Anolis sagrei: one gene and its partner. The protein of the gene in region 2 purifies or fractionates together with the protein of the main gene of each other region. This does not show direct contact. Links are inferred from orthologs where the notes say so. Each region holds a gene or a part of one and is shown on either strand. Other genes may lie near its edges.

What was found. Proteins that work in one complex are often made in the same cells at the same time.
Region 1: the proteins of EFTUD2 (region 2) and PPIE purify together in Homo sapiens (affinity purification with mass spectrometry; 3 studies listed by BioGRID and IntAct, with this or other methods). This does not show direct contact. The link is inferred for Anolis sagrei from reciprocal best matches to the Homo sapiens genes EFTUD2 and PPIE.

Annotation. Positions count from the first base shown.
Region 1 is NC_090034.1:84,717,095-84,727,611, reverse strand, and holds the start of PPIE (peptidyl-prolyl cis-trans isomerase E), read left to right. Parts: upstream 1-6,105; 5' UTR 6,106-6,173; coding exon 6,174-6,204; intron 6,205-6,405; coding exon 6,406-6,504; intron 6,505-8,154; coding exon 8,155-8,198; intron 8,199-8,479; coding exon 8,480-8,506; intron 8,507-10,054; coding exon 10,055-10,136; intron 10,137-10,517. UniProt on the Homo sapiens protein: Involved in pre-mRNA splicing as component of the spliceosome. Combines RNA-binding and PPIase activities.
Region 2 is NC_090026.1:47,532,065-47,541,811, reverse strand, and holds the start of EFTUD2 (116 kDa U5 small nuclear ribonucleoprotein component), read right to left. Parts: upstream 4,679-9,747; 5' UTR 4,570-4,678; intron 1-4,569. Other genes in the region: CCDC103 (coiled-coil domain-containing protein 103), read left to right, coding at 5,035-5,151, 8,064-8,209, 8,963-9,095. UniProt on the Homo sapiens protein: Required for pre-mRNA splicing as component of the spliceosome, including pre-catalytic, catalytic and post-catalytic spliceosomal complexes. Component of the U5 snRNP and the U4/U6-U5 tri-snRNP complex, a building block of the spliceosome.

The DNA.
Region 1 (10,517 bases), on a different chromosome or scaffold from region 2:
GAGCTGAATACGCCCCTCCAAGGTCATTTACCCAGCCCTTGCTCAGGGTCAACCTAAGTCTGACATGACTTGAAAGCATACAACAACAATCCTATCTCATCGGCCAAAAGCAGGCCCACACTTCCCATTGAAATACTAATAAGTTTATATTTATTAAAATTGTTCTTCATTTTAATTATTGTAATGTTTTAAGTGTTTTTTGCACTACAAATAAGATGTGTGCAGTGTGCATAGGAATTCATTCATTTTTTTTCCCAAATTATAATCCGGCCCTCCCAACAGTTTGAGGGACTGTGACCTGGCCCTCTGTTTAAAAAGTTTGAGAACCCCTGGTTTAGAGGCTCATATACACTGTTTTATGAGCCTCTGAACCAACACAATTGGTGCTTACTCTATAATTCTCAAAGCGAAATGGTCAGAATAGTAAGAATCGGGAAACCAATATGCCTTTATGGTGTTGGGTCTGAGTTCATCTGCAAAGCCAACCAACCCAAAGGCCTATGAAATCATAGGGGGATTTGTGAACCTTAGTTGAGAGATTCAAAATCTCCATGCCATCCTTGTTGCACAAATACATTCCTTTTCTTACATTCATCAAACAAATGCTATTTTAAATATTAAAAATATCATGTGTTTTATCTAGCAGGATGTTGTGTCAAATAAACTATCATTTCCCAGTTAAAGTACTGAGAAGTAACCTCTCTTAAGTGCTGCTCTTTAGAGGCATTGGACCTCTTCAGATTACGTACAGCCAGAGAAACTAGTAACTATATAGATCTTTATTGATGAATTGTAAAGGTTTTCCCTGACATTAAGTCTAGTTGTGTCCAACTCGGGGGGGGGGGGGGGGTGCTCATCTCCATTTCTAAGCCGAAGAGCCGGCATTGTCTGTAGACACTTCCAAGGTCATGTAGCCAGCATGGCTGCATGGAGCGCCGTTACCTTCCCGCAGAAGCCATAACTATTAATCGACTGACATTTGCATGTTTTCGAACTGCTAGGTTGGCAGAAGCTGGGCCTAACAGTGGGAGCTTACTCCACTCCCTGGATTCGGACTGCTAACCTTTCAGTCAGCAAGTTCAGCAGCTCAGTGGTTTAACCCACGGCACCACTAGGGGGCTTGTTGTATTTTGTGGCAACAAATTCCTTCATTTTAACTACTGCACAAGAGTGTCATACAGGGGAAATCCAGACAAGAATCGATCAGGGCCAGCTAACACTTCCCAACAAAGGATCCCGAGGCAGCAACCAGCTAGACTTTGAAACTGCAAGGCCATTAAATACTAATCAAGTTAGCAAATGGCAACATTCACACTTGCCTCAAACAGACAAAAGCGTTCTTTCTCCCACCCTGGACATTATTCCACAGATATATAAATTTCACTTGCCTAATATCCAACAGACCTCACAACCTCTGAGGATGCCTCCCATAGACGTCATCAAAAATACTTCTAGAAAATGCACTTACAGCCTGGAAAACTCAAAGCAAACCAGTGATTCTGACCATGAAAGCTTTCGACAACACACACATACAACATCTAACGCTTTAAAAGAGAAGGACAAGATAAAAGGATGATTATTCAGAAGAAAAAGCAGGCAGAAACACACAAAGAACAGAAAAAAGAAATAGAGATTTTGAACTTTGAACAATGCCTAAGATTGAGATGGGCTATACAAATGGACTGGTTATATAAAATTATCTTTGGTGTAATATAGAGAAAAAGCATGATAATTATAAAATTTAAGAATAGATTTCTTGTGAAACGATCTTATGAAAAATTATGCTCATTTTCTATTGAAGAACTGGAAAAGAATATATGAAGATCACAAAACAATGTGAGAAGACACATTGAAGAGACAACCAATGGACTTAAAGTTGTTAGAATCTTCACTATTATAACAAATATGTGTTAAAGAAATAGAGATGAAGATTTAGTTGTAACGATGACAATTTTGTAAAAGGAACCCCCCATACCCCAACAACCCCCACCCTCTTTATTTTCTCCTTGCGGCATAATAGAGACTGTAAATATGCAACTAACCAATAACAAATCTATTTTCCCATTTTTTTCTTCCCCTTTCCCCCCACCCTCATGTAAATGTTTAATAAACATTATGGGGGGGGGGGGGGAGAGGTACAGTCAGTCTTCCACATTTTCAGAGGTTTGAAGCACAGGACCCTGGTGAAAGTGAAGAATACAAATAAATGTTTTGGTTTTTTTACTAGACAGAATATCTCTAGGAATGGATACAGGGGTTCTCCAGATGTTTTGCACTTCAATTCTCAGAAACCTCAGCTCCCTTGATCAATAATCAAGGATTCTGGGCACCAAATTTCATCATCATCATCACTTTATTTCTTAATTAGTCGCTCTCCACCAAATTGCTCCGAGCGACTTACAATTTAAAATAGCTTATACACAATATAAAACATTCAACATAAAAACATTCAGCAGTGACTATGGCAAAATTTGATCCAATTACTTAAATGCACAACCAAACAGCCAAGTCTTGAGCGCCTTTACAAAAGGTTGCAACTCTGACATTGCTCTAATATATGGAGGCAATGAGTTCCACAGAATTGGAGCATAGATCAAAAAAGCTCTACGCCTTGTAGCTTCCAAATGTGCCTCCCTAGGACCTGGTATGTATAGGAGATTTTCCTGGGTGGATCGAGGTGACCACTGATGGGGAAAAGGAATGAGGCAGTCCCTAAGATATAAAGGTCCTTGGCCATTTTGAGCTCTAAATGTCAGGATCAGTATCATGTAAGAGATCCGATGTTCTATTGGTAGCCAATGCAGTTGTTACAGAATCGGTGTAATATGGGGTCTTATAGATGATCCCGCTAGCAACCTGGCTGCCGCATTTTGGACCATCTGAATCTTCTGGGTCATTGACTTCGGAAGGCCAGCATATAAGGCATTGCAATAGTCCAACCTAGTGGTGACTGTTGCGTGGATTACCGTTGCCAATGCTTCTACCGAAAGGTAGGATGCTAATTTCCTTGCCTGGCGAAGATGAAAAAAGGCCTGCTTACTTATGGCAGTGATCTGGCCCTCCATCGTCAGTGATGAATCCAACACAACCCCAAAGCTTTTAACAGTGGCAGACGGAACCAGAGCTTCCCCGTCGAAATCAGGCAGAGACTGGGTTAATTCTGGCGGCTGGCCGGGCCAGAGTATCTCAGTTTTTGCAGGATTGACTTTTATTCGTCTTGCTCGTAACCAACTCATCACTGCTTCCAAACACAGCTTAAAGTTCTCAGGAATCACGGTTGTCCCAGGTTCGAGACGCAAGAGTAGCTGGGTATCATCTGCAAACTGGTAGCACTCTATGCCAAAGCTCCGCACCAGTCCAGCAAGTGGTCGGACGTTGATGTTAAATAACAGGGGCGAGAGGATAGCACCCTGGGGAACTCCACAGCAAAGGCAGGAGCTCTCAGAGCTTTGGCCTGACCACTCCACCCTCTGTCTCCGGTCGCGGAGGAATGAATTGAACCATTTGAGGGCTAAACCTCGTACACCAGACGGAGCCAATCGATGAATCAGCAAGTCATGGTCCATGGTGTCAAATGCAGCTGTGAGGTCCAAGAGTACCAATAGCGCTGATCCGCCTCGGTCTAACTGATGACGAATTTCATCAGTAATAGCTACCAAGACAGTCTCTGTTTGAAAACACATGGAAGACTACAGTCTGGGAAACAGTCTATAGTCAACTTACAATTGAAGCTGAACATAGATGCACACTGGAGGAACTAGTGAACTGTCCTCTAGAAATCCCTGGATCCTCCAGGATGAAGATTGAGTCACACTGGAGAACCTGGGATTCCTAGAGAGAACATATTTACATTAAATCCATGAATAAACAAACAGGAAAGATTAAGTCCCTGATTGTCCTCCATCCAAGAAAGCTTCAGGGCAATGCGTTGTTGAAGGCTTTCATGGCTGGAATCTCTGGGTTGCTGTGAGTTTTCCAGGCTGTCTGGCTATGGTCCACAAGCATTCTTTCCTGACATTTCTCCCAAATCTATGACAGGCATCCTCAGAAGTTGTGAGGTTTGTTGGATACTAGGCAATTGGGGTTTATATATCTGGAATGCTCACAATGAGGAAATAACCTGTCTGTTGGAGGCAGGTGTGAATGTTGTAATTAGCCACCTTCATTAGCCTTGAATATCCTTGCAGCTTCAAGGTCTGACTGCTTACTGCCAGGGGGAATCCTTTATTGGGAGATGTAGTTGGCCCTGATCTGAATTTATTATTTATTATATTTGCGGTATTTGTATGCCACACTTCTCAACCCTGAAGGGGACTCAGGGAGGTTCACAGTGTTGGCAACAATTCAATGCCATTGATAAAAAACAGTATAAAACATCAAAATTGTCCCTCCCTTGATAAAACATTAAACATTATTACAGTGTTCCCTCACTTATTGCGGGTGTTATGTTCCAGAACCACCTGTGAAAAGTGAAAATCCGCAAAATAATTATTTTAATATTTATATATCATTTCAGTAGGTAAAGGTAAAGGTTTTCCCCTGACATGAAGTCCAGTCGTGTCCGACTCTGGGTATGGTGCTCATCTTCATTTCTAAGTTGAAGAGCTGGCGTTGTCCATAGACACCTCCAAGGTCATGTGGCCAGCATGACTGCATGGAGCACCGTTACCTTCCCACCAGAGCAGTACCTATAGATCTACTCACATTTGCATGTTTTCAAACTGCTAGGTTGGCAGAAGCTGGGGCTGACAGCGGAAACTCACACTGCTCCCTGGATTCAAATCTGCAACCTTTCGGACAAGCTCAGCAGCTCAGCGCATTAACCCAATGCACCATCGGGGGTTCCTTATTTCAGTAGTTATACACTATTTTAAGTCTTTATAAACCCTCCCCAGACACTTATACACTACATAACCCTCCTTGAATGTGTTGTTCACATAATCCTCAGCTCCGGCTTTATCTGCAGAGGCAGCCTCTCCATACAGACAAACGCTCTTAAGGCCAGAGCGCTTCTAAAATTAATCAAACCTGCCATGTGATCGTAAAGTTGCTTGGCCTTAGTCCGACCACGCACACGTGAGTCCGATGCTAATGTGAAATGGAAAAGCAGAGAATAGCTGCGCACAAGATTGTTGTTTTACCAGGTAAAGGTAAAGGTTTCCCCTGACATTAAGTCCAGTCGTGTCCGACTCTGGGATGTGGTGCTCATCTCCATTTCTAAGCCGAAGAGCCAGCGTTGTCCATAGACACCTCCAAGGTCATGTGGCTGGCATGACTGCATGGAGCGCCATTACCTTCCCGCCGGAGAGAATGCCTCTAGAACATGGCCATATAGCCCGAAAAAACCTACAACAACCCAGTGATTCCAGCCATGAAAGCCTTCGACAATACAGACCTCACAACCTCTGAGGATGCCTGCCATAGATGTGTGCGAAACGTCAGGAGAGAATGCTTCTGGAACATGGCCACACAGCCTGAAAAAAATCACAGCAACCCAGTGATTCCGGCCATGAAAGCCTTCGACAACACATAACCAAAAAGTGGGAGGAGAGAAACCAAACCTAAAAATGTATTGTTGAAGGCTTTCATGGCCGGAATCACTGGGTTGTTGTAGGTTTTTCTGGGCTATATGGCCATGTTCTAGAGGCATTTTCTCCTGACGTTTCGCCTGCATCTACAGCAAGCATACTCAGAGGTAGTGAGGTCTGTCGGAAGTAGGAAAATGGGTTTATATATCTGTGGAATGACCAGGGTGGGACAAAGGTCTGCTGGAGCTAGGTGTGAATCTTTCAACTGACCACCTTAATTAGCATTTGGTGCCTGGGGTAATCTTTGTTGAGAGGTGATTAGATGTGCCTGATTGTTTCCTCTCTGTTGTTTTGCTGTTGTAATTTTAGAGTTTTTTTTTAATACTGGTAGCCAGATTTTGTTCATTTTCATGGTTTCCTCTTTTCTGTTGAAATTGTCCACATGCTTGTGGATTTCAGTGGCTTCTCAGGAGAAAATGCCTCTAGAACATGGCCATAGAGCCCGGAAAAACCTACAACAACCCAAACCTTCAAAGGCAGGACGCTCTGCTTTGACGCAGAAAGCAGTGCGCGCGCTCCTCCTTTTCCTCCTTCCGGCCGCTTTTGGAATCCGTTTCCGGTCGGAGGGGGATTGTGGGAAGGCAAATGGCGTCCACCAAGAGGGTGCTGTATGTGGGTAAGGAGAAAAGACTGGGAAGAGAAGGGGGCGGCTTTCAAAGCTGGGGAGACCTTGGAGGCGGCGGCAGAAAGGCGCCTCGTCGAGCCAAGCGGGCAGGAGTTCTTGGGCCTGGGTTAGGGTTAGACTTGTAGGCCTGCCCTCCTTGCCTTCCCAATGGCGACGTAAGGGGCCTCTCTCTTCTTGTCCCCGTCTCCCTAGGCGGCCTGGCGGAGGAGGTGGACGAGAGGGTGCTGCACGCGGCTTTCATCCCCTTCGGAGACATCACCGACATCCAGATCCCTTTGGATTATGAGACAGGTGAGGAGGAAGGTGGGAAGGAGAGGAAAGAGAAGGGAAAGGAGAAGGAGAGTAAATAAAGGGAGGAGAAGAAAAGGGAGAAGAAAAAGGGGGAGAGGAAAGAGGAGGATAAAGGGAGGGGGAAAGAAGAAGGCAAAGAGGAGGGAGAGAGGAAAGAGGAGGAGAATAAAACAGGAAGAAGAAGAGAAAGGAGAAGAAAAGGATGAGGAAGGAAGATGAGAACAAGACGGAAAGTGGAGGAGAAGGAGAATAAAAGTGGGGAGGAAGAAGAAGAGGGAGCGAAAAGAGGAGAAGAAAAAGAGGGGGAAAGAGGAAGAGGAGGAAGAGAATACAAGGAAGGCGAAAGAAGGAAGAAGAGAAAGGAGAGGGAGAGAAAATAGGGGGAGGAGAAGAAAGGGAGGGGGAAAGAAGAAGGGAAAGAGGAGGAGAATAAAAGAAGGAAGAAGAGGGAGAGGAAAGAGGTGGAGGAGACTAAAAGGGGCAGAAGAATAGAAAGGAGAATAGAAGGATAAAGGAGGGAAGATGAGATCGAGACGGAAAGTGGAGGAGAAGGAGAATAAAAGTGAGGAGGAAGAAGAAGAGGGAGCGAAAAGAGGAGAAGGCAGAAAATAAAAAGGGGAAAGAGAAAGAGGAGGAAGAGAATAAAAGGAGGGGGAAAGAAGGAGAATAAAAGGAAGGAAGAAGAAAACGAGATGGAAAGTGGAGAAGGAGATTAAAAGGGGGGAAGAGGAGAAGGAGGAGAGTAAAAACGGGGAAAGAAAAGAAAAAGAGGAGGAAGAGAATAAAAGAAGGAAGGAAGAAGAGGAAGAAAAGAGGTGGAGGGGAATAAAAGGGGGAAGAAGAATAGAAAGGAGAAGAAAAGGATGAGGAAGGAAGATGAGAACGAGACAGAAAGTGGAGGAGAAGGAGAATAAAAGGGGTGAGGAAGAAGAAGAGGGAGCGAAAATGAGAAGGAGGAGAATAAAAAGAGGGGGAACAGGAAGAGGAGGAAGAGAATAAAAGGAGGGGAAAGAAGGAGAACAAAAGGAGGAAGGAAGAAGAGAACGAGGTGGAAAGTGGAGAAGGAGAATAAAAGGGGGAAGAAGAGGAGAAGGAGGAGAGTAAAAACATGGATGTGGGACCAGGTCTTTGGGTAATCTGTCAAACTGACAAGGACAATGGCGACTAGAGCTTTGGAAAGCATTATGATAATGCTGAATGGACTTGTGGATTACAGAACTCGGCGAACGTTGGCCACCAGATTGGCTTTTTTTTATTAGTTGTTATTGTATTAGTTGAATGTTTTAACTATTTATAATTGTTGCTGTTATATATTTTACTATGTTGAATTGTTGGCATCGAATTGTGCCGGTTGTAAGCCGCCCTGAGTCCCCCCTACTTTCTAATGTTTTAAATGGAGTCTCTGTTCTTGCAATTTGTATCCATTGCTCCATTTGTCCTGGTCTCCAGAGCAGCAGGAAACACACCTTTCCCGCTCCTCAGCGAGACATTTTTTAAATGTTTCAAAGAAAAACAGTAGTTATTTTTCTGACCTGCCTTTTTTCAGTATGAAATTAGGCTTCTCATAATAGTTTTACATGGAGGTCTGGTTGTCTATTGGTTGCCCATAAGGTTTGCTAAACTGATTATCCTTTTCTCATATCTCTGCAGAAAAGCATCGGGGTTTTGCTTTCATTGAATTCGAACTGGCTGAGGTAAGGAAATGCTGACATGTTGGCACCCCAAAAACCAAACATTTTTTGCAGAGGGATCCTATAGCACTTTAGAGCCCCAGAGAACAAGGTGAGTGGGCTAAGCTTTGGTAAACTCAGTTCTGCCTTCATCTCACTTCTTGTTGTTCAAGAAGGACTCTCCTTAACTTTAAATGGCACAAGGAAACCTAAAACACAGTGACCCCCAAGCATGGTATTTGGGGGCAACTTGAAATAAGGGATGATGAGTTATCAGTAAAAATATATCTTCTTTTCTTCTGTAGGATGCTGCAGCCGCCATCGACAACATGGTACGTCTCTCTTTAGATTTTCTGAATTTCATTTTGTGGAAAGATGAAATCCCCGCTCATTCCTAACAATATTTTCTGGTAGAAGTGAAGTAATCTGTTTTATAGACTCCGCTTTGATGGTAGGTTTGTGCACAGAGTCCTTCATTTTGGTTTTGCAAAAAGCACATAGAAAATCTCCCTTGTTCCAATACAGAGTTCTAGCTGAATGGTTCCAGTAAGATTTATTTTTAAATTAAGCAGTCTGACTTTTATGTGCTAAAAAAAAGAGAATACAGAATGAGGATGTCAGTTGTATGAGGGTTCTCCGGAAAGTAAGGTTACAAGGGACGTAGCTCTCGCGGGGAAATTTCTCGTAGGAAGTTGGTATCACTTCCATGTAGCGGGAAGCCAGCGGAAGCGAACAAGTAGTGCCAGTCATCAGTAGCTCATCGACTGGCGTGGTGAAGGTTAGAGATGAGCGTCCTCATTCCATTTCCCTCCGAGTGCAAAGTTTGTGCTGTAATACGCTACTGAAATGCTAAGGGCATGAACGCTGCTGCTATTCATGGCAAAACCGTTTCAGTTTATGGAGAAGATAGCATGTGACAAAATGGGTACGGAATATATTGTGAGACCATGAAGAAACTTCGCAAAGCCATCCAGAACAAATGTGATGGGATACTGACGGCGGGAGCCTATCTCCTTCATGACAATGTGCATCTGCACACCACTCATGCAACTCAAGAGTGGTTGACTTCATTTGGTTGAGATGTTTTAAGCCACTCCACTCACAACCCCGATCTCACACCCAGTGACTACCATCTGTTTACTAAATTGAAGGAACACCTGGGTGGAAGACACTTTTCCAACCACGACAAGGTGAAAATCGGAGTGATGAACTGACTGAAAAAGGTAGAAGGAGACTTCTATGACACAGGCATCAAAAACTCATCCCACTGATGACAAAATGTATTGAACTAAATGGTGATTGTGTGGGAAAATAACGTAATACCTATGCTGCAATCCATGTAAGTTTTATTAAAATATATTCATTCTTTGTCTTTTAAAAAATAGATATAACCTTAATGTATTATTGAAGGTTTTCATGGCTGGAATCACTGAGTTGTAGGTTTTTCTGGCTATAGGGCCATGTTCTAGACCTCACAACCTCTGAGGATGCTTGCCATAGATGCAGGCGAAACGTCAGGAGAGAATGCTTCTAGAACATGGCCATATAGCCCAAAAAACCTACAACAACTCAATTATAACCTTACTTTCTGGATAACCCTCGTAGAATCCAGTGGCAACAAAGAGGGCCAGGGGCAGGGAAATTAGTAGTGTAGTCCACTGAGAAATATGTGGGCATGAAAATGACTAAAGTGAAAGTATGGACAAACATGTTTTGCCTGCTTTAAGAGCCAACATAGTAAAATGGCTGCATTTATCCGGGACAGTGAAGTCCGTTTTCCTACATGATACTCATGTTAAGATGCTAAATCTAACCTACCTTATGTTGGGCTTGTATGAGAATTACATGATGATTTCAAAGTAATCCTCTCCCCTCCTTAGAATGAGTCTGAGTTGTTTGGGAGGACAATCCGCGTCAACTTGGCCAAACCGATGAGGATCAAGGAAGGCTCCTCTCGCCCAGGTAAGCCATGCAATTGGGACAGGAAGAATCATAGAGTTGGAAGAGACCTCGTGGGTCATCCAGTCCAACCCCCTGCCAAGAAGCAGGAAAGAATGGTTCTTCACCTTTGTGTTTCTGTTTGTGTGTACTTTTGGACCAGGGGAGATTCTGTCTGTGAATCCTGAGTTAAATATACCTGAATAGGAAGGTTCCAAAGATTTTTTTCATCTTGTGTATAAACATCCCAGAAATACTTATGTAACAAAATTTGGAAAAAAATGCTCTTCCTAGTTTGAAAATACGTTTTAATTGTGTGGTACTTACTTTGAAAGCAGTTGTTCTACTCCAGAAACTTCGTTTTTGTGGCTGCCACAATCTGTAGAATTGGTTGAGACTGGGATA
Region 2 (9,747 bases):
TTTATTTAATGTCTTGATTCTGATGCTTTTAAATATTGGTGACCATATTTTTTTCATTTTCATGGTTTCCTTCTTTCTATTGGCCTCCAGGCAACAACACTGATTGTGCAGCCGCAAGACTACTCAATGCTAATCACACTTGCCAATTGCAACATCACACTTGCTTCAAACAGAGGACTCACACATCCCTATATCCCAGAATATCAAGGAAGGAAATCCCACAATATCTGCTTTGAACTGGGTTATCTAAGTCCACACTTAGATAATGTGGGACTTTATACCTTGATACTCTGGGATATAGGACTGTGTGAAAGAGTCCAAGACAAGCCCCCACCAACCACCACCCTGGACAGTTCACAGATATATATACACTCCACTTGCCTCATTTCCAACTGACCTCTGAACAAACCACCGAGGATGCTTGCCACAGATGCAGGTGAAATGTCAGGAAAGAATGCTACTGGAACATGGTCATACAGCCCAAAAAACTCACAGCAACCCAGGGTCCTTCCAGACAGGCCCGATATCCCAGGACCTGGTCCCAGGTTTTCTGTTTATCTCAGATTATCTGATGGTGCAGACTCATATAATCCAGTTTAAAGCTGAAAACCTGGGATCGGATCCTGGGATATCGAGCCTGCCTGAAAAGGCCTCCAGCCATGAAAGCCTTCAACAACACATAGCTATCATGCTCTTCTCAGCCTTCTTTTCTCCAAGTGATACATACCAGCTCCCTAAACTGCCCATTGTAATCAGCTGAGATCTGTATCTCGCCTGTACCTATAAAGCTTTGCAGTCCTTTCCTGTATTTATTATTTATTTATTTAGGTCATTTGTATCCCATCCTATCTCGACCTCCGCAGAGCGACTCAGGGTGGCTAACAGACCGGCACCCCATGGTGCCTACAACCAAAACATAAATATACAATTTAAATAACAATATAGCAATAAAACAGTATAAAAGACAATCAACAGTCAACAGTTGCCAGTTTACGTCATCATCCAAGGAGCGGATAGTCAGTTCCATTAAAGCCATCATGTCAGCAGGTCAACCTAATCTACAAAGGTCTGATCCCATAGCTAGGATTTCGCTTGTTTCCGACAGGTCCAGAGGGATGTAGCAGATCGAATTTCACTTGCGAGGGAGTTCCACAGCTGAGGGGCCACCACAGAAAAGGCCATCTGTATCCCTCTATCTCCTATCATCTTTTAGCTTTTACCGGCTGCTCTTTCCTACAATTCAAAATAGTTCAGTTCCATCGAGTTGAAATTTTATTTCCGCTCCAAACAGTAGAGCTTTGGGCTCTTCCAGACAGGCCCTATATCCCAGGATCTGATCCCAGGTTTTCAGCTTTAAACTAGATTATATTAGTCCACACGGCCAGATAATCTGGGATAAACAGATAACCTGGGATCAGATCCTGGGATATAGAGCTTTTCTGGAAGGGCCCTTTGACTATTTCATTCCGTGATAGAATAGCCACAGAAATGGGTTGTTATAGGTTTTTTGGGCTATATGGCCATGTTCTAGAAGCATTCTCCCCTGACGTTTCACCTGCATCTATGGCATCTATCAGCTTCCCCATGTGGTCAGTAGTTCCCTTGACGTATGGCAAGAACACTTTTGGCAAGATCCAGCCAGAGGAAAAGAGTTCTTGCCAAACATCAAGGGAACCACTCATTGCATAGGGAAGCTGATGAGGAAACACAACATACAAATTATATACAGACCCACCAAGAAAATCTAACAAATGCTACATTCAGCAAAGAACAAGAGGGATCCACTTACTTCTGCCGGAGTCTACCATATACCATGCAGCTGTGAACAAGTCTATATAGGGACCTCCAAATGCAGCATTGCCCAAACACAAATCAAGGAACATGAACGGCACTGCAGACTACTTCAGCCAGAGAAGTGAGCCATAGCAGATCACCTGATGAACCAACCTGGACACAGCATATTATTTGAGAATACAGAAATGCTGGACCACTGTAACAACCACCATGTCAGACTACACAGAGAAGCCATTGAAATCCATTATTATTATTATTATTATTATTATTAACTTTATTTGTACCCCGCTAGCATCTCCCGAAGAACTCGATGCGGCTTACAAAGGCCAAGGCCTCAAAACATGGCATAACAATACACAACTCAAAGCAAATCAAAACAATTAAAGCAATATCAAAAACAACAGAACAATAAAACAATACACCAAAATACAATAAAACTGGGGCCGGGCCAAATGTAGTGAAAACTCCAATAACAAGTCCCAGAAGCACTTTATTAGAATTAAGATTGCTGGCACACTGCACTTATCCTATAATCCTTACATATCACCTGTCACTTCAGCACTTTTAATCTGTACCCATTACTCTGGCCCGGCCCAGTTTTATTGTGTCTTGGTGTATTGTTTATTGCTTATTGTTTAATTTTGCTTTAACTGTTTTTAATTTTTTTATTTGCTTTAGGTTGTGTATTGTTATGTTGTGTTTTGAGGCCTTGGCCTTTGTAAGCCGCATCGAGTCCTTCAGGAGATGCTAGCGGGGTACAAATAAAGCTAATAATAATAATAATAATAATAATGGGTACAGATTAAAAGTGCTGATGTGACAGGTGGTATGTCAGATTTTAGAGTAAGTGCAGTGTGCAAGCAATCTTAAAGTCTAATAAAGTGCTACTGGACAATTTCAACAGAAAGGAGGAAACCGTGAAAATGAACAAAATCTGGCTACCACTATTTAAAAAACCCTCTAAAATCATAACAGTAAAACACTCAAACACAGGGAAACTCCAGAGAGGAAACAATCAGGGACAGCTAATCACCTCTCAACAAAGGATTTCCCCAGGCACTAACAAGCCACACCAAAAAACTGTCAGGCCTTCAAATGCTAATCAAGGTGGCCAATTGAAACATTCACACCTAGCTCCAACAGACAACAGTTCTTCCTCCCACCCTGGACATTCCACAGATATATAAACCCAATTTTTCTAGTTCCAACAGACCTCTCAACCTCTGAGGATGCAGGCGAAACGTCAGGAAAGAATGCTTCTAGAATATGGCCATGTTGTTGTTGTTCATTCGTTCAGTCATCTCTGACTCTTCGTGACCTCATGGACCAGCCCACGCCAGAGCTCCCTGTTGGCTGTCACCACCCCCAGCTCCTTCAAGGTCAGTCCAGTCACTTCAAGGATGCCATCCATCCATCTTGCCCTTGGTCAGCCCCTCTTCCTTTTACCTTCCACTTTCCCCAGCATAATTGTCTTCTCTAGGCTTTGCTGTCTCCTCATGATGTGGCCAAAGTACTTCAACTTTGTCTCTAGTATCCTTCCCTCCAATGAGAAGTCAGGCTTTATTTCCTAGAGGATGGACTGGTTGGATCTTCTCGCTGTCCAAAGCACTCTCAGAACTTTCCTCCAACACCACAGCTCAAAAGCATCGATCTTCCTTCGCTCAGCCTTCCCTAAGGTCCAGCTCTCACATCCGTAGGTTACTAAAGGGAATACCATGGCTTTGACTAGGCGGATCTTTGTTGCCAGTCTGATGTCTCTACTCTTTACTATTTTATCGAGACTGGACATTGCTCTCCTCCCAAGAAGTAAGCGTCTTCTGATTTCCTGGCCACAGTCTGCATCTGCAGTCATCTTTGCACCTAGAAATACAAAGTCTGTCACGGCCTCCACATTTTCTCCCTCTATTTTCCAGTTGTCAATCATTCTTGTTGCCATAATCTTGGGTTTTTTTTTTTATGTTGAGCTGCAACCCAGCTTTTGCGCTTTCTTCTTTCACCTTGATTAGAAGGCTCCTCAGTTCCTCCTCGCTTTCGGCCATCAGAGTGGTGTCATCTGCATATCTGAGGTTGTTAATGTTTCTTCCAGCAATTTTCACACCAGCTTTGCATTCATCAAGCCCCGCACATCGCATGATGTGTTCTGCATACAAGTTTAAAAGGTTGGGTGAGAGTATGCAGCCTTGCCGTACGCCTTTCCCAATCTTGAACCAGTCTGTTGTTCCGTGGTCAGTTCTGACTGTTGCTACTTGGTCCTTGTACAGATCTCTCAGGAGAGAGACAAGGTGGCTTGGGATGCCCATACCACCAAGAACTTGCCACAATTTATTATGATCCACACAGTCAAAGGCTTTAGAGTAAATGAAGCCGTAATAGATGTTTTTCTGAAACTCCCTGCCTTTCTCCATTATCCAGCGGATATTGGCAACCTGGTCTCTCGTTCCTCTGCCTTTTCTAAACCCAGCTTGAATATGGCCATGCAGCCCGAAAAACCTACAACAACCCAGTGATTCCAGCCATGAAAGCCTTCAACAATACATTAGCCAGAGAAATGATAGGGCTGGAAGGAGGCTCAGGGGCCATTGAGTCCTGCTCAACTGTAGGTCTTCCAGCTAAAAGCAATTCTAGCAAGTCTTTTCGAGGTTGTCCTTACACACTATGCTGTTGGGTCGTATTTTAACAATGTACTAGTTGTACAGTTAGAGGGGGGAAAACCCTCATATTCAGTTTAGACAGTTTAAACCCTCATATTCAGTTAAGACAGGCATGCAGCCCTACCTTCCTGCTTTTCCCTTTGCTTTACCGCCTTCCTCAGCACAGGCTGCGGCGCACGTTCGTTGCTACGTTCTCTTTCCCCGTCGCGCGAGCTGCGACGACAGAATGAAAGGCCCCCTTCTTGCCTCCGGGTGAGGCTGTCTACTCAGTTGCCGGAATGATTTCCTCCATTTCTTTCTTTAAAGGTGCAGTCCCGATATATATCGGTCTTGGTGGAAAGGCATAATACAACAATAACGTGTTATATTATTGTATTGTTGTATTTATGGCTATCTACCAAGACCGATATATATGGAGGAAAATAGAGGAAATCATTCCGGCAACTGAGTAGACAGCCTCATCCGTAGGCAACAGGGGGCCTTTCATTCCCTCGTCTATAGGAAATACGGAGTTGAGCTATTAGCTCCACGGCTGGAAGGCCCTACCCACCTCGGAGAGTGTCCTGGTTGCTATGGAAACCTCGTTGGCATGGGAACGCGAGGCCTACCCTGGAGAACGAACTCCAGCGCCCTGTGTAGACTGAAAAGCTGCCTTCTCTCGGTTTCGTGCTTTTGGTGTGGATTTTCCAGTGCAAATTTTCCTGAAGTATTAGTTGTACTCGCTAAGCGTTGTGTGGCCAACCCTCCATCCCTTTTTCTCTTCTTTCTTGCTCTCCTTCCCTAATTCTTTCCTTCCTTCCCTTTTCCCCCTTTCCTTCTCTTCTTCCTTTCTTCCCTTCCTCTTTCTCCCCTTTCTTCCTTCTCTACCTATTCTTGGACTGCAACTCCCAGCAGTCCTGATCTATCTATCTATCTCTAATCTATCTATCTGGAGGATTGCTGGAAGTTGCAGTCCAGGAATAGGAAATTGAAAATATTCAGGGAATAGGATGCTCTCAAAGAAATCCAAGGAAATTGCATTTTGAAAGCAGTGCATTTGGATCATCCTCCTCCCCTAAAGAGCCTGGTCTAGGGGATGCTGGGAGCTGTAGTCCGGAAGAGAGTGTGGCTATGCTATTGTGTGTTTTGTTTGCTGGGAGAGACATTTTTGTGCATGCGCTGTAGCATCTTTTGCTTTTTTGGCTTTTTAAGTCTCTTCTGCTTTGTTTGTCAGTGTTTTTATGAGTGATAGTCACTCATTGGCCTGATATGTGTATTGTGTCCAAATTTGGTGTCAGTTCGTCCAGTGGTTTTTGAGTTCTGTTAATCCCACAAACGAACATTACATTTTTATTTATATAGATATGTAAAAGGTAAAGGTTGTCCCCTGACATTAAGTCCAGTCATGTCTGACTCTGGGGTGTGGTGCTCATCTCCATGTCTAAGCCGAAGAGCCAGCGTTGTCCATAGACACCTCCAAGGTCATGTGGCTGGCATGACTGCATGGAGTGTCGTTACCTTCCCACCGGAGCGGTACCTGTTGATCTACTAACATTTGCATGTTTTCGAACTGCTAGGTTGGCAGAAGCTAGAGCTGACAGAGGAAGCTCACGCCGCTTCCGGAATCGAACCTGTGACCTTTTGGTCAACAAGCTCATCAGCTCAGCACTTTAACCCACTGTGCCACCGGGGGCTCATAGATATGTGATCCTTAAAAAATATGTAGTGATCCTTAAAAGAGACCCACAGAAGTTTATGATTTAAAACAGGAGTGGGAACCATTCGGGCTTCCATTATTGGGAGACTGCTTTGTTGCTGGGAGTTGCAGTCTCCCAATAGTGGAGGCCTGAAGTGCCTTATTTAGGCCCCTTCCACACAGCTGTATAAAATCCATATTGAACTGGATTATACAGCAATGTGGACTCAGGTGACCAAGTTCAAAGCAGATATTATGTATTATCTGCCTTGATATTCTGGGTTATATGGCTGTGAGGAAGGCCCTGAGAGCCTACTATATTAATGTCTCTTGATACTGGAAATGTATCTCCATCTTATGGAATGTGTTCTCTCTATTTTTTAATGCTCTCAGTTGTTGTTTTTACTATCAGGAGCAACTTGAGAAACTGCAAGTCATTTCTTGTATGAGACAATTGGCCGTCAGCAAGGACATTGCCCAGGGGACGCCCAGATGTTTGATGTTTTACCATCCTTGTGGGAGGCTTCTCTCCTCTCCCCGCATGGGGAGCTGGAGCTGACAGAGGGAGTTCAACCCACTCTCCCCAGTTTCTAACTGCTGACCTGTTGGTCAGCAGTCCTGCTGGCACAAGTGTTTAACCCATTGTACCACTGGGGACTCCATTTAATGCTCACAGTGCTGATGCTTTTGTAGCTAAAATTGTACAACTGGTGCAGAAGAGAGAATTGCATAGCCCAAACAAAATAATTATTGGGCTCCTTCCGCACAGCTATATAAGATCCCACATAATCTGCTTTGAATTGGGTTATATGGCAGTGTGAACACTGATAATCCACTTCAAAGCAGATAGTGTGGATTATCTGCCTTGATATTCTGGGTTATATGATTGTGTGGAAGGACCCTTAGTGTCTTGTTTTTTAGGCTTGTTTCTGTTGTTCTTTGGGGTGATTACTCAGAAAATTGCACTGTCTAGCATCAGCTCTAGTTTCTTAGATGTAGTTATGATTTTTTATGGGAGAGCAGATGAAGACTGCTACATGACAAAGGTAGAGCTGATAGGGGAAAACTGGTGACATTTTGGGAATCAACAAGTCCAGTATACCCAAAAACAAATGTAACATTTAAAGCACCAGAATGTGTGTTGGACAGTGTTATCAGCAGCCTCAATGAACTCTGAGATTTATAAAGGTGTGTGTGTCCACACACACACACAAATCATGATCTATAAATCAACAGGGGCTGGGAGTGATTGGTATGTTTCAAATGCAGTCTTATTCTTGGGCTAGAATCAAAAACTGTACCCAAGGAAGATGATGTTGTGAAGAAGGTCATACCTGATTGACTTTAAATGCCGAACAAAAGTGTTCCTTGCACATTTGTAATAGATTCCATTTGTACCCATCTGAATTTGGCGAGGAGATGCTCTCTTACAGTTAAAATAATTGGTATGCAGCCAGGTTTTGCTGCTTGAATTGAGAAGAAAAAAAGAGTTAGGAGTTGTGAGCTGGCTTAATGTGAAGCACCACGCGTCAGGGTGCAAGCAACTCCTGCCAAGATCTGGATTTGCCAATATGCTGAATCAATTTGGCCCTAAGGGGGGCCTGCTAATATAGCTGTAAAATTGACTAGTTATTCAAAAGATGCTGTAAATCTGTTCTTTCTCCCTTAAAAAGCTGGCTTCTGTAGGGCTCCTTCAGCCCATTGACTGTGGTTACTTTGGGAAGTGGAAAATGCATAACAGTATGCTCAGATGGTAACTAATATCATCTGGTTTCTGTATGTGTGTTTGTGCATATATTCGCTTATGATTTATTTGGACTGATCTTTCTTCCTCTTGTTTAATATCTTTGTATCCTCCAGTTAAAGTTGTTCAGCCCCAATTTTTGGCATAAGAGTTGTTGTTTTAATTAAATATTATACTAGTTTACCTGTGCTGCTCCTAGGTCTTAAGAATGGAAGGCATGATAGATTTCCGTACTTTGGAAAAAGAGTTGGAACAAGCGATTGCCAGTGATGAGAAGTACAAGAGAGAAAACGATGCCAAATTTCGAGCAGTGCGCCAGAAAGTAGCATCCTATGAAGAATTCAGGTTTCTTGAGTCTTATTAATTCCTTTCTTGATGAGAAAGAGGGGGTAGATAAAACAAAATACTTATCTTTAGAGCAGCTGCTTGTGATTTTATCTCAATCCATATACAGCTGTTAAGTTAATACAGTTTAGCATCTGATGTATATGGCATACTAACCAGCAGTTCCCAAATTAAAACAGACTTGCACCAAGAACAACTGGCATGACTTTCCCCCACAGTGAAATCTGTTCTATAGACATTAATAGGTATGTTGTTAATAGTAATTATACAGTAAATAGAACATGAAATGTTCGTGCACACCCATTACTGTTTTGCAAAGTGGTAATAAAGTGCTGCTTCTTCCACTTCCAAGTTTTATTGTTTGGATATCTGAGAGAAAGGAGGCATCCTATAAAAGGATTAAATGGAGCAGCATTTTTTACGGGCAGCTACAAATGCAGGTAGTTAGAGTATGTAAATTTTGCCATATGCAGGCTACCACATTAAATTGTGGCACATTGAAGGTATTCACTTTACCATATGACTTAGTTGTTTTAGTTGTTTGTAGGCATCTGAAGTTTCTTTGTCCTTTGGACAAGCTGAACAGGTACTTGGCACTTGAATGAATACAATACTAGGTAAAATTGTTGTGCCTTTAATAATTTTATTAAAGAAAAAATTTCAAAAAGTAGACGCTTTCTTAACTCCACAACTTTGTATTTAATCAGACTACTGTTGAACTTTTAATAATGCACACTTTTTTGTTTCCTGTAGGGATATTGTTCGAGCATCACACTTAAAGCCTTTAGACAAAGGGGACAAAATGAGGAGCAAAAGAAGCATGTTATGGAATTCCTGTGCATTTAAATCAAACTGCAAAGAAGAAAGTGGAATAGAATTGTCTCAGGTGAAGTAGCTGTTCTTGAAGTTTTTTTAAATCTGTGGTCTCTTCCGAGCCAGATTCCTCTTAAAAATCACAGTAATTCTTGGTTTTAACAGATTTTCTTTTAATGTAGAGACTGGAAGTATGTTGCTGCATATACCTTTTTATATAATTTTTGATATTGACATTTCTTCCTCTTAATGAGGAACTATGAAGCAAGCATATACCAATAACAAATTGCTTCAATGTTCAGAGTGTAAATCCTGTGTCAATGATGAATCCTCTTCCCCATCTTTGAGAATGTCTTTTTAAAATTATGTTAATTTTGTCCCTTATATCCTACCTAATATCCTACCTTTTGCCCATTATTTATTCTACAAGATTAAAAAAAATAAAATTGCATGGAAACTATCTGCATATTTTGAACATCATAGGACTTTGCTTAATACATGCAGAAATAGGCATTTAATAACATGTAGTATTTCCAATATTAGTGCTAAATGCAGAATTTCAGTGGAAATGTCATGGCACAGAATTTGACATGTGTTGCAGCAAAATCTTGCATGTGTCAGTTGTGCTAATAAACCCATTGCAAATGTGTGCAATGGAAAAATTAGATGGATTTACAGCCCATTTTGAAAATAGTATTTATTTATTTATTTATTTATTTGTAGCA